3 linked regions of the Macaca mulatta genome follow. The protein of the gene in region 3 purifies or fractionates together with the protein of the main gene of each other region. This does not show direct contact. Links are inferred from orthologs where the notes say so. Each region holds a gene or a part of one and is shown on either strand. Other genes may lie near its edges.

What was found.
Region 1: the proteins of CDC25B (region 3) and CDK1 purify together in Homo sapiens (affinity purification with western blotting; 4 studies listed by BioGRID). This does not show direct contact. The link is inferred for Macaca mulatta from reciprocal best matches to the Homo sapiens genes CDC25B and CDK1.
Region 2: the proteins of CDC25B (region 3) and FBXW11 purify together in Homo sapiens (affinity purification with mass spectrometry; 14 studies listed by BioGRID and IntAct, counting the BioPlex papers as one, with this or other methods). This does not show direct contact. The link is inferred for Macaca mulatta from reciprocal best matches to the Homo sapiens genes CDC25B and FBXW11.

What each region holds. Positions count from the first base shown.
Region 1 is NC_133414.1:89,038,471-89,043,444, reverse strand, and holds the start of CDK1 (cyclin-dependent kinase 1), read left to right. Parts: upstream 1-1,523; 5' UTR 1,524-1,539; intron 1,540-1,571; exon of another isoform or gene 1,572-1,594; intron 1,595-3,113; 5' UTR 3,114-3,138; coding exon 3,139-3,175; intron 3,176-4,974. UniProt on the Homo sapiens protein: Plays a key role in the control of the eukaryotic cell cycle by modulating the centrosome cycle as well as mitotic onset; promotes G2-M transition via association with multiple interphase cyclins.
Region 2 is NC_133411.1:180,721,791-180,726,119, forward strand, and holds part of FBXW11 (F-box/WD repeat-containing protein 11), read right to left. Parts: intron 2,978-4,329; coding exon 2,728-2,977; intron 302-2,727; coding exon 183-301; intron 1-182.
Region 3 is NC_133415.1:80,270,990-80,276,118, forward strand, and holds the start of CDC25B (M-phase inducer phosphatase 2), read right to left. Parts: upstream 3,199-5,129; 5' UTR 3,085-3,198; coding exon 3,060-3,084; exon of another isoform or gene 2,827-3,059; coding exon of another isoform or gene 2,817-2,826; intron 2,630-2,816; exon of another isoform or gene 2,409-2,629; coding exon 2,207-2,408; intron 1,342-2,206; coding exon 1,214-1,341; intron 558-1,213; coding exon 506-557; intron 1-505. UniProt on the Homo sapiens protein: Tyrosine protein phosphatase which functions as a dosage-dependent inducer of mitotic progression. Directly dephosphorylates CDK1 and stimulates its kinase activity.

The sequences.
Region 1 (4,974 bases), on a different chromosome or scaffold from region 3:
AAGGTTGAGCCAGATGCAATGTATAATACCAGATGATAGATGCAGCTCATTGTGTTAAAAGGTATTAAACACTTAAATGCATGTGATATATTCTATATCACAAGGGTAAGGAAGTTCCATTCCATATTCTAATTTGGGTCTTCTAATACATACTTGTGGTGTATGTGGTAATCAATCTTTGTTCTATGTCCTATTAGGATCAATGCAACCAGAAATCCTTAAAATGGACTTTTATTATCTCTGGCTCTGTTTTACTGTTCTATTTGTTTATTTTAAAAAGATTTTAGAATGGTGTTTAGGTTGGGCTGGTGGCTCACACCTGTAATCCCAGCACTTTGGGAGGCCAAGGCAGGAGGATTGCTGGAGCCTAGGAGTTGGAGACCAGCTAGAGCAACATAAGGAGACACCGTCTCTGCAAACAAACAGGCAAAAAAAAAAAAAAAAAAAAAAAAAAAAAAAAAAGTAAGAAAGAGAGAAAGAAGGAAAGAACAAGAAAAAAATTAACTGCATTAAATGCAGAAATCTGTCTTAAGGATATTGTGGATGGCAATGAAGACAGAGTTTTTGACACTGGATTATTTAAAGCATAATTTAAACCTCTTTTTCTCCCCTCATAGAATTGTGAATTTTTGTGTTTTAATAATATTTAAGCTGGTCATGGTGGCGGGTGCCTGTAGTCACAGCTACGCTGGAGGCTGAGGCTGATTGCTTGAGCCCAGGAGTTGGAGGCCAGCATGCATAGCATAATGAAACCCAGGCTCTAAATACATGCCTCTCTCTATATATTTAAAATTCTGATGTGAAAATATTTTAAAATTTACATTTCAAATGTTTTTAATTGCATAATACACAAAATGTAAATAATAAAATAATTTAATATTAAATTCAAAAATGAGGTAGAAACAAAGCACAGCGATATAAATAATAAATCTTCCTTTACAGTTTTGAGACAGTCTTTTAAGTTTTCCATTACCTTCTTAAGGTCACTGAAAGGTGCTCCTTGGAGCCAGCCCGCAAATCACGCATTTAGAAAAACATAACTATACACTCCTAACCCTAAGTATTAGAAGTGAAAGTAATGGAATCTCGATGTAAACCCAATATCACTTTTTTGATGAGCTATTTTGAGGATAATAATTTTGAACTGTGCCAATGCTCAGAGAAAAAATTTAAAAGAAGAACGGAGCGAACAGTAGTTTCCTGCTCCGCTGACTAGAAACAGTAGGACGACACTCTCCCGGCTGGAGGAGAGCGCTTGCGCTCGCACTCAGTTGGCGCCCGCCCTCCTGCTTTTTCTCTAGCCGCCCTTTCCTCTTTCTTTCGCGCTCTAGACACCCGGGAAGGCCAGCCTAGCGTAGCTGGGCTCTGATTGGCTGCTTTGAAAGTCTACGTTCTACCCGATTGGTGGATCCGGGGTCCTTTAGCGCGGTGAGTTTGAAACTGCTCGCACTTGGCTTCAAAGCTGGCTCTTGGAAGTTGAGCGGAGAGTTACGCGGTTGTGGTAGCTGCCGCTGCGGCCGCCGCGGGATAATAAGCCGGGTACAGTGGCTGGGGTCAGGGTCGTGTCTAGCGGATGGCCCGGGGACCTCGAAGGGCGAGTATTGAAGAACGGGGTCCTCCTCTAAGAAGGCCGGACTGGAGAGCAGGGACCTGCGCGGAGCCAGGCTGGGCCTCGGGGTGGGGTGGGCAGGGCCTTTGCCTGGGCCTGGGCGTGTGAACCACACTGCGCCGGCTTTAGAGGGAGGCTATGGGAGCCCAGCCTGGCGGGGTTAGGCGGCGTGGGGGTGGGGGTGGGGGTTCGGGGCTGCAGTCGTGAGTTCAGGTCGGCTGTTTAGGAACTGCCTTAGGAGGCTTTCGGGTCTTGATTGAAGCAAAATCCGCTCCCCCACACTGAGCGCCAGCGGAGTGGCAGGCTCCTTCCTGGGCCCGGCCCCTGAGCGCCCTCCCATCCCGCCTCGGAGGTGGGAAAGCGGGACCGCACCTGGGCCAGGTACAGGCGCAGATTCCTAAAGCGAGGCTGCCCTGAGAAACCGATCCCGGAACTCGTGGGCCTTCTGGGGCTTGCTCTGCCCACGGCCCCGGCCCACCTGGAGCTGTTAAGAACACTCAGCCCAGGCACTTAACACTCATGAGCAGTGTAGTGCAGTTTTTTTCATTTAAAAAGATATATCTCTGCTTCTTTCTGGATTGATTTTTTTCTTTGAAGATGAATGTGGGAAATAGAACTTAAAGGTCTGTTCAGAGCGGGCTTTATAAATGATCTTATCATCAGTGATGGGTGTTAGAAAAATCTAGGTAATTATGCCTGGAGTTCTGACGTTTCATTGACAAACTTCAGAGGAAGTCTTGAACTTCTGGTTGTTTTTTGTTTTTTTTTTAAACCCATTCATTGTGATTCAGGTATACAGTTTTTCTGCTTAGTCCTTGACATTGTGTAGGCTATAATTAGAATTTTATCTGTGGAATTGCACTTTTCATTCTTTTGTTTTAGGGTGCTTAAGTGATATTTCCGACTCTTGGAAAAAGTACCTTGAAAGTCTTGAGCATGTTTGTGACCTCTGCAAGCAGAGGAAAAAAAGATTAAAATTGTCACGTGGGCAACTGGAAACGCTTAAAATGTTTTTGCCGCTTTAAACAAAATTTTCCTAATGAACAATCTGAACACATTTTAGTTCTCCCCTTATAACTATAAAAAATAGTGTTTTGAATAAAATTAGAAATATCATAAAGCGGTATAAATTTGTTGAAATATTTGGGTATAACTTTGGCACACTCAGATACTAGTGTCACAACAAGGGAACATAATTCTGGTTTTTCTTTGGAAAGAATAGACAAGTTGATATCTGAATTTGAGGGTTATTTTGATTGGAAGAAGCTAAATAAATACTACACTAGTATAGAATATACACGTTTCCAATGTCTCAGGAGTCCAGAAGGATGGAAAGTTATTGTAGGAGTCCTTACCCTTGTAAATATTGTTTGAATGTAGTTAATATTTATGGAATACTTATGTACTGCAGTAGGCACAGTGGAAAATGCTTTACATATAGTGTAATGCTAAAAACTACTCAAGTTAGTGGCATGTAATTAAGTCAGTTTTTCCTTCATTTTAGGATCTGCCATACCCATTGACTAACTATGGAAGATTATACCAAAATAGAGAAAATTGGAGAAGGTGAGTGGTTTTAGTAATATAAATTTTTGGGGATGATTTAACAATGCTACAACTTCTGTAATATGAACACATGTAAATATTTATTAAAATTCAACCATTAAGATGTCTTGTAGTACCAGTGTGCATTAATATATGTTCTTTACTTAATAAACGCAAATTTGTTCACATTTCAAGAGAATTGAAATTACTGAATCCCTAATGACCCATCCCTTCACCCCCATAGTCTTACAGTCTTCTGATACTAAAGAAGTATCAGAAATACTTGTATTTTGAAGACACTATTGATGACTTGCACATGTGTTGAGGGGCAGAGGTTAGGGATGCAGAATTATGCTAATTTCATAGTCTATTTTTAGTCTCTTTCAATTATTTTTAGGATGATAAATATTCTTATCCAGCCTTTATAGACTGGTTACAATAATTGACTTAATCTAATTTAAATAAAATTTCTATTTAGTTACCGTAAGAAAAAAATGACCTGTCATATGTACATGTTTAAGCTATTCTAAAACTATAACTTACGTATATAATCATTCCCTTTCTGTGGTACTTGAAGGAATGATCAGATCTATATATGGCACAAATGAGGGGTATATCCCTTCGCCTGTTCCTTGACTCCAACAGAACATTCTCAATTCTCCAGGTACAAAATAATTTGCTAGTAGAATCCAGTTTATATCGGTTCTGCCAGAAGGAAATTCACAACTATATTTTTAATGTGATCAAAGACCTCACTTGACAAGAAATAGTAAAAAAACAAGGGGGGAATACTGGAGGGAATTTAGTGAAATAGGAATGACAAGTTAGTGTGGTGTTCGATTGGAGGGGTGTGTGTGTGTATTTATTTTTATTTTTAAACAAATTAAATACCTCATACCCATTCTACTAAACACATTTTGCTGCTGAATTAAAAATAATGTGATTAGTATGTCTAATGCTTTGTAGTATGTTTCTTAAATTCCCAGGGAATTTGTGTTGATTTCAGTTTGGCATAAAAAGAGACCTTCTTAAAGTATAAATATATTTTTCTTTAAGATGATAGAACTCCAAACCTATAGGAAACTACAGATTTGACTTCTGAGAAAAGTACTTTAATTGCTACCATAAATAAGAGCAGTTAAGAATGTAATTTTAAATGTAATCCATTACATGTATTAAGTCATATGACTCCCATTCTTTATTTCTATAAGTGTGACAGTGGTAAACCCTCTAACTTTTCTGGATCTCGGTTTCTGCCTCTGCAAATGGTGATAATTGGACTTAACACGAAAGATACGATTCAATTGAACAATATTATGGAAAGCATTTGTTTGAGTGCTTTAACTCAGAAAACCTTCAAATGTATATCATTTGAACATTGTGTTATTACTATGAACACTGTCTCCAAAACTGTCTCTTTACCAGCCTCATCTAATGCCACTCAACTCTAATTCGGATTTCTTTGATGTCCTCAAATGTATCCTGTGATTTGGCCTATGAGTTTTGGCAATGGCTGTTCTTTCTACCTGGAGGCCAGTCTCTACTGGCTTCATTTTTTATCTCCTCCTCTAGTCCAAGAGCATTTTGTAGTTCCCTTTGCATCATGCTTAATAGCCATTTTAATTATTATACCATAGTATCCTTGAGGGCTGGGGTTTTTGTCTTGTTCACAACTGTTTGCCCACTGCCTGTCAGTAGTGCCCAACCCACAGGAGATAGCCAAATAGATAATAATAACATCTGTGTTCCTTGTTTGTTCTTCTGAACACTGTTTCTTTTTCTGGCTTGTATTGTTGTTTCTACTCCAAGCCTGATTGTTT
Region 2 (4,329 bases), on a different chromosome or scaffold from region 3:
AGGGCATACACGGTTTTCCCACTTGAGTATACAGAGCCAAATACATTTCTAAAAGTTACCTAAAGCTTTCTTATCTGAAACATCCCATTTACTCTGAGTTGTTTTGAGCATTAGAACTAGGAGATGAGTCAACAACGTGGCAAGAATCAGCCTGCTCTGTCAGCACACCAACTTCTACCCACCTAATGGTATTATCTGATGATCCACTAACAACCAGCCGATCCCTGTACTGGAGACAGGCAATGCCTCGCTTGTGCCCATTGAGAGTACGGACAAATTCACAGGTGCTCGTGCTCCAGACCTGTATAACAAATTAACAATATTTTAAAGAATGAATGTGGAAAAGTCCTCCCACAATATACCTTTCTTAAAAAGACAGCTTCTGAGAATGACCCAAATATGTGATTATAAAATACAGTGTCCTCTAACTCAAAGTTGGGAGGCTAGAGGGCAGACTAGACAGCATAACATTTTCTTTGGCTGCTGAGTAATAACACTGGAATGAAACACGGAGGGAAGTGAAGTCTCCAGTCGTTGAGATCTTTACAAAGAGAACATCTCCTAGATGGTTTGGATATTCATTTACCTGGAGGAAAGAGTTTGGGCCAGATTTTATGTTTTTACACCAGCTGACATGTCAAACCCAATGAAGCTAATGTAATAAAAAAGCTTCCAGCTGGGTACAGTGGCTCACACCTAATCCTAGCATTTCGGGAGGCTGAGGCGGGAGAATTGCTTGAGCTCAGGAGTTTGAGACCAGCCTGGGCAACGTAGTAAAACCTCATCACTACAAAAAATAAAACTAGCTGGGCGTGGTAGTGTACATCTGTGGTCCCAGCTATTTAGGGGGCTGAGGTGCAAAGATCACTTGAGCCCAGCAGGTTGAGGCTGCAGTGAGCCGTGTTTGTGCCACTGTACTCCAGCTTGGGTGACAAAGCGAGACTTTGTCTCAAAAAACAAACAAAAAGTTTCATCTTTCATATAATCCTCTTTTCCAGCATATTTTCTTGAACAGCTCCATTTGTTTTGACACATTACTTCTAATTGTATGTATGTAGAATAAATAATCCCCTCTTTTGTGATATCATCTGAAAGACTTAGATGTTCATAGACATCTCAATGTATTATTAGACAAATAAGGAGACACACAGCAACCAGAGTGCCCTGAATTATCTTAACAGCTGCATTTGCAGCTGAATGGGATAGATAAATATATCTCCACATGTAAAAGAATGGCATTGGACATCTACCTCATACCTTAAACAAAAATCTAACTCAAAATGGATCAAGGACCTAGGCACGTCTTGATAAATTGAACATCATCAAAATTAAAATCATTTGTGCATCAAAGGATACCATCAAAAAAGTGAAAAGGCAACCTACAGAAAGGGAGAAAATATTTTCAAATCATGTATCTCATAAGGGGCTTGTGTCCAGAATATATAAAGAACTTATAACTCAACAATAAAAAGACAAATTATCAATTTTTAAAGTGGGCAAAGGATTTATAGACATTTCTCCAGAGAAAGTACACAAATGGTCAATAAGCATACAACAAGTTGTTCAGCATCATCAGTAATAAGGGAATGCAAAGCAAAACCAGAGATACCATTGCACACTCACTAGGGCAGATAAAAGAAAAGAGACAAATAACAGCAAGTGTTGGCGAGGATATGGAGAAATCCTCCATGCTGGTATTATGAAACAGCTGTTTTGTAATAAAGCTCAGACCCTCTCAACTTTCAGGCACTGGTCTCATACCAATTGGTGTGACTGTGGGAGTAAGTTGCCACATATAAATCCTAGTTGTTTAGCTTCCCAACTATCCAGTCTAAAGCCTGATGCTACACACTTTGTGATTTGTGGGGCTAGGTGTAAGAATGCTTTCCAGTGCTGGTCATGAAAAGGATGTTCTTTGCGCAAGCTGAAACCCCCACATACCACTGGCAGGACTGTAAAACGGTGCAGTGCCTTTGGAAAACACTTTGGCAGTTCCACAAGCCTGGGCAACAAAGTGAGACCTGGTCTCTACAAAAAAAAAATGGGCAGGGGGGCGGGCCTGGTAGTGCCTGTACTCCCAGCTACGCCAGGAGGCTTAGGTGGGAGCCTCAGGGGTCCCTGAGCTGAGGGACGGCTTGAGCCCAGGAGGTCAAGGCTGAAGTGAACCATGACTGTGTCACTGCACTCCAGCCTGGGTGACAGAGTTAGATCTGTCTTCAAAAAAAAAAAAAAAGTTAAACAGAGGGTTACCATCCTAAGAAAATTAAAAACATGAAAACTTCTACACTAATATTTATAGCAGCATCATCTGTAATAGCCGAAAAAATAGAAACAACTAAAATGTCTATCAACTAATAAACAGAAGAACAATGAAATGTTATTCAGCCACTGGAAACAACAAAGTACTGGCTGGGTGTGGTGGCTCATGCTTCTAATCCCAACACTTTGGAAGGCCGAGGAATGCTTGAGCCCAGGAGTTCAAGACTAGTCTGGGCAATATAGCAAGACCCCATCTGTACTTAAAACAACAACAACAACAACAACAACAAAAATGGGACAAAGCTGATAGATGCTACAAAGCACATGGATGAACCTTGAAAACATTACACTAAGCACAGAGGAGAATAAAGATCTTACCAGGTACCAGGTTGGTATAAGCCACCTCTGCTTTCTCTCTGTTCTAAAAGGGACAGGAGGAGGCTGGGTTATGACTGCAGACATACTTACTTTGATGGTCCTGTCACCAGAGGCGGACACAATGTACTTGTCGTCAAAGTCTACTACATTGACAGCAGCCCGGTGGCCAACCAGGACACGGCGTAAAGTGATATCGGTCGCAGAAGCCATGTCCCACACAGCAATGGAGCGGTCCTTGGAACACGTCACCATCAGTCCATTGCTGAAGCGTAAGTGCAGTACGGCCTCATTGTGGTGGATCAATGTGTTAAGAACTTCACCCGTGTTCACATCCCACACCCTAGGAGAGAAGAGAAAAAGCATGATGCTTAATTACGGAGACAGCCAGGAAATGATTCTGGCATCTGAGTTCTGTCTGGGTCTGCAATGGCTTGGATATGGTTTGTCTGACTCTACCAAATCTCATGTTGAAACTGATCCTCAGGGTTGGAAGTGGGGACTGACAGGAGGTGTCTGGGTCATGGCGGTGGATCCCTCACGAATGACTTGGTGCCATTCTCATAGGAGGGAGTTCACTCTTAGTTCTGAGAGAACTGGCTGTTGACAAGAGCCTAGCAGCTCCGCCCTCTCTCTTGCTTCTCTCTCACATGTAATCTGCATACACTGGCTCGCCTTTGCCTTCTGCCATGAGGAGAAGTAGCTCGAAGCCTTCATCAGAAGCAGATGCTGGTACCATGCTTCTTGCAGAGCCTGCAGAACCATGAGTCAAATAAACCCCTTTTCTTTTATAAATTACCCAGCCTCGGGTATTCATTTATAGCAACACAAATAGACTAAGACAGGGTCCATTCTTAATGAACCTAAGGGCATGATTAAAAGGTGCCCCTAAAAAGCAATTTCTTTATTTGTTGAGAAGTGCTGAGATGGTTTCAGAAAAGGTGGCTAATTCTGGCTCTGCTCGAGTTTAGGTGTATTTAGCAGTCAGGTATTCAGGGACGGTGTCTGCAGGCTCATGCTGATGGCAAAAGACAATTCCTCAAGAAAGCAGATTTTGTATTGAGTCTGAGATAAAAGGAAGAAGGAGCCTTGTTGGCTGAAGAACTGAGAATGGTTCCAAGCTTACAGTTCTTGTTGACCTCTGGCAGACCTCTGAGTCTATTATTTATCCACTGCAAACTGGGTAAGTCATGATGCCTCATCAATCACCACATCCACTTCTTTACTCAGCTGCTTTATGGACAAAGCCAGGGTCTCCCAACTGCTTTGTATGTCCAGGGATTTGGGGGCAGCACTTCCACATCATGGCTTTTCTGTAACCCTCATCTCCTAAGAGGACAAGTTCACACAGGGCAGAGGGGAAAAGACTCAGGCCTCTGAGGCTGAGACATGATCTCTGGCAGAAGCAGTGGTACGGAAGCACTGAGTCCAGGAGAGGATACCAGGCGTGCTTCAAGCAGGGGTGGTGATGCTTCAGGCAGGGGTGGTGATGCTTCAGGCAGGGGTGGCGATGCTTCAGGCAGGGGTGGTGATGCTTCAGGCAGGGGTGGTGATGCTTTAGGCAGGGGTGGTGAAAGAGTCCGGGAGTGACTCCTGGAAGTGAGTGTCTCCTCTCTGCTCTGGACCAGTTTCCCAAAAGAAGAAAGCCAGCCTAATACTTGGTATATGCTCTTACAGGAAAGCATGTTGTCATCT
Region 3 (5,129 bases):
CAGGGCTGGCCAGAGGGTCAAGTGTCATCGAAGTCAAAGGTTGCTCATTGGCCAAGAGCCAAATCAATCTGCAGGCAACTGTGTTTTGTTTGGCCTAGAGTGAGTTAAAGTTCTGAATTAACTGGATCATATTTTTTTAATTGTAATATTTCACAGAAAAAAAAAGGGTATAGGCAAGAAAGAAAAACGGGACATACGCTGGGCTTGTATTCCTGCAAGACATGGGCTGTAGCCTAGTATCTGCTCTCCCAATGGCCACTGTCCCCACCACCCCTGGCCCTGAGCCCACTCTTGGTTGGCTCCCATGAGAGCAGATCCTTCTCTGAGACAGGGAGCAGAATCCCAAGGCCTGAGAAGGTTAGTGAGCCCCCCGGCCATGGGGATCCTGAAGCCACCTCATGGTCTGCCTGTTTCCCCAGGCCTCCTCAGTGAGTTTATGCTAGAACCAGGATTCTTAAAGGCAGGTGCTGATTGCTTGGTAGTAGACATTCCCTTCTCTACTCACGTCTGCTCCGCCATCTGGGGGTCCACAGGGCTGGGGGAATCCATGCAGAGACCTGAGGGGACAGAGCACCTTGGTTTGAAAGTAGTGGCACTTTCTGTATACTTTCCCCAACCATGTCCCAATAAGAAAAAAAAAAGAAAAAGAAAAGTTTCTAGTTTGGACTTTGGCACATTAGAAAATGAAACAAAACCCAATCATGGACCCTGAGAGCTGACACATCGTCTCCCAAATGGTACAGGATGCCACTCCCTGTTTACTATGGAAATTTCTTTATATGTGTCTTTAAACCACAATGCTCGCTAAGCATTTTTCTTGAACTGATTTCAAACAATTTGTTCTAGAAGAGACAACAGATTTTTAAAGAAGAGTTTATAGACTAAGAATGTTCTCAAGACCAACTCAGCCCTGGGTGCTTCCCAGGTAGGGCTGTGGTTTAGAACTTTGGTGTGTGGTTTTACACAGGTAAGATCTCATCTAGCGTAGAGGGCCCCACCCTCTCATCCACTCAGCCAGTCCACATTGGGTGTGGTGAGCCCCACATGAGGTGTGTCTTCCTCCCATCTCTGTGGAGGGTGGGGGAAAGGCTCCTGGGCCCACCAGGTTGTGGGGAGGATGTTAGTTTGATCCGCAGGGAAATCGAGAGGCCCAGGCAGCCCCCACAAACTCTCCTGGCACTGGCAGATCTCCCCAGGCTCCCCTGGGCCTCACCTGCATCAGAAGATTCGGAGGAATCTGACGACAGGGAGGATTCAGATGCCCGTCGAGACAGGGATAGGCGCGTCAGGCGGCTGTGGCTGCGGAAGAGCAGGGTCCCTACCTGACTCTTTGGGGTTTCGCTGGGAAAGGAGCAGGGACCCGGGAAAGGAGAAAGGTGGGGTTCAAAGCCTCGCTAGCCCACGTTCCCACTCCCTCACTGAGAAAAGAACTGAGCGAAATGCTACAGCGGGAAAGCAATGGCCCTGAGGGCCGGCCCTCTTCTCAGCTCAAGGCAGGTTCATTCTACAGAGGTCCTAAAGGGGCTTCTCTTTGTTGACTGGTTTAGGAAAGGTCCTCCCAGGTGCAGGGGAAGGTGAGCCCAGGGTGTGAGCAAGGTGGCCTGGATGGAGACCAGCCTAGGGGTTGGTGGTCTAGCCGAGACGCCCCGGAGAGCCTTCCCCTAAACTGTCAGACCCCCACCTTTCCAGGATTCTTCCTGAAGGATGGACCAAGACCAGGTTCTCCTACTGGAACAACCCAGCTCTCCCCTTGCACTTAGGGAGCAGGATCAGTGTTTAATTAATTGCCTTAATTCTGGGGGCAGAATTGGGGTGGAGGGAGCGGGGGTATGGATGTGTGAGTGCCCTACGGCTCTGCCACCCTCAAGTTCCCTCTCCAGGCTTGGGAATCCCATCCTGGAGCAAAATGGTGGCTATCTGGGCAGAGATTAGGGAGGCAGCGTGGTGGAGGCACAATGAGGGAGGAGGGAGTGAGGGGAAAGACTTGGAGAGGCTTGTGTAGACTGAGAGCAGGTCACCTGGAGGTCACCTGTGTGGGGGACACAGCCCAGGTCTCACCTCCCATGTCCTGTACCTCTCCACTGCCCAGGATGCCTCCCCCGGACTCCACCTCCTGGATTCGAATACCATGCCCGGTTCTCCAGGAGGCCCAGGACTCCAGACCGGGCCTCTCACCCCCATATCCAGCCTCCTTGGGGTGTCCTACCTGCCGAGCCCGGCGAGGTCATGCATGGTCTGGGTGAGGGTGGTGACCGGCGAGGAAGCGGTCGCGCGCACAGGAGACACCAGGAGGCCATGAGATCCCAGCAGGAGGCCCGGGAGGTGGCCGGGACGCTGGGCGCCACCGCGCACGCATGCTGGACTGAGAGCCGAGCCTGGCGCGGGCTCCGGCTGGGGCACCTCCATCGCTGCGGGGCCGGCAGAAAGCTGGCTGGAGGGCCGGGCGCAAGGCAGCCAACAAACGCCGGCACAGCTGGCTGGGCCGAGGGAGGCAGCGGGCGCGGAGGGGGTGAGGGGGGGAAGGGAGGGAGGGAGGAAGAGCCACAGGGCTAGGCGCGAGGGAGGAGAGGGATGCGGGGAGGGCGGGGGCGAGGGACGCAGGGCTCAGGCACCAGCCTGGGAAGCCTCTAGTTGCAGCTGCCACTTCCACCTCCTTATATATTCGAAAAATAACAGCGGCCGCGCCGCCGGACGCCACCAATGGGGTAGCGGGTTAGAGGAGGGCGGGATTGAGGGCGGGGCCCTCAGGGCGAGAGGCGCGGAGGCTGGATATCTAGGCTTTGGGTGGGCCGGAGGAATTAGGAATCATCCCATACCCTCGCACATCCCCCTGGCGCGAGGATCCAGGCCTCCCGAAATCCTCCTGTCGCGACATGGTTTGGAGCTCCATACTCCCAAAGGCAGCAGCAACGCCCTAGGGTGGCCTCCGCTGGACCCCCCGCGGCATATCGTCACCTGGTATCACCGCTAGGGACGGGGAGAGGCTCCAACCGGCTCCCGGAAGTTTGCTAAACACAGCTGGGCTGTGCGGTCTGCGTTAGATACCCCATTTTACAGACCTGGACGTTGAGGCGTGAAGTTCATTAATTCGTTCAAGGTCACGCGGTTGGGCAGGCGGTGGGCCAGGATTCGCTCCCTCCAGGCGCCTCTGACCCCGCAGCCTCCCCGCCCCCGCAAGTGGCTGCGCTGAGCAGCAGCAAAACGTCATTCGCAGGCGGAGCGCCCAGCTTAGGAGGTGGGAGGGCAGTGGGGCCCCCAAGCGGAATTGACGGGCGCTTTCGGGGGACCCCAGGTTAGATGTTACCCCAACCAGTCCAATTTTCGCGGCAGCCCCAGTAGAGGCTCTGAATGGTGGAACTAGGCATGGATTTCCGCGGCTGGGGGTCGAGGAGGGTGTCAGCAACCAGAGAAGTTAATTAAGTATCACGCCCATTGATGACTTAGCTAACTTGGTGGCAATGGCACCATATTATTTAATTGGTGTTTCTTTGATGACCAGACCAGAGAGGCTGAATTTGTCATTCATTTAAGCCAAGCATCTTCCAATTATCTTTTTCTTTTTCCTTTTTTTTTTTTTTTTTTTTTTTTTTTGAGATGGAGTCTCGCTCTGTCAACCCGGCTGGAGTGACTCGGTGATCTCTGCTCACTGCAAGCTCCGCCTCCCGGGTTCAAGCGATTCTTCTGCCTCAGCCTCCCGAATAGCTGGGACTACAGGCGCACGCCACCACACCTGATTTTGTATTTTTAGTAAAGACGGGGTTTCACCATATTGGTCAGGCTGGTCTCGAACTCCTGACGTCGTGATCCACCTGCCTAGGCCTCCCAAAGTGCTGGGATTGCAGGCATGAGCCACAGCGCCAGGCCCATCTTCCAATTATCTAAATGCCTTCCAGCCCCGCCCGTTTTCCAGGCCTCCTGGAACAAGAGGGCTGAAGGCTGCACTGAAAAGCCAGTGGGTAGTAAGCAGCTTTCATATAGCATACGGTATCTCCAGGTTAGAAGTGGCCTCTGGCTGGGCGGGCAGTTGGGGGGCGGGCTGCAGTTCAGCAAGGCAGGAGCGCCCCTTCTAGTGAAGTCCCAGCCACCCGGACCCAAATTTTTGGGGGTGGCAAAAGGGACGGCCTGGTGATGGGGGGCTTGGTGGGCCAATGCACGTGAAGGGGAGGGGAAGACCCCAGCCCCACCTGAGAGGGGTGGCCAACGTGGGAACCATGACCTTTCCTTTTCTCCACATTTTGCCCAGTTCCTGTGCTGTGCAGAGGGCTCTGCAAGACTGAATTTCCGGTTCATCCTCCCTGGGTCAGGGGTCATGCCCTGGACCTCCAGCCACTACTTCCAGTGAGGATGTGACTGCCCTTAGTGCCAGGAGGGAAGGGGGAAGTGCCCTTGTGAGGCTACCCAGCCCCAAAACCAGAAATAAAACCCCCAAGATTTGCGTTTTCAAAATAAACACAGCAGGTATCCCCCCTACCCCTCACCCAGCCAACATACAGGGCAACAATGCAGGGTGGGCATTATACTGTTGAATCCCTTGAAATCCCAGTCAGGTCACCTCTGGGCCGGTGAGTGGGGAGGTGGGCAAGACCATAGAGGGGTTCTGGGTTTTTTTGTTTGTTTGTTTGTTTGAGATGGAGTCTCACCGTGTCACCTAGGCTTAAGGGCAGTGGCATGATCTCGGCTCACTGCAACCTCCGCCTCCTGGGTTCAAGCGATTTTCCTGCCTCAGCCTCCCGAGTAGCTGGAATTACAGGTGCCCGCCACCATTCCCGGCCAATTTTTTATTTTCAGTAGAGACAGGGTTTTGCCATGTTGGCCAGTCTGGTCTTGAACTCCTGACCTCAGGTGATCCACCCATCTCGGCCTCCCAAAGTGCTGGGATTACAGGCGAGCCACTGTGCCTGGCCCACATACATAATTTAAAATATGCTAGTAGCCACATTTAAAACAATAAAAAAGAAACATGAAATTACTGTAATATTTTATTCAATGTAATGTATTCAAAATATTATTTGACATGTTATCAATATATAATTATTGAGATATTTTACATACTTTTTCGGATACCAAGTCTTCAAACTCTAATATGCATTTTACACCCCCAGCACATCTCAGTTTGTACTTGCAACATT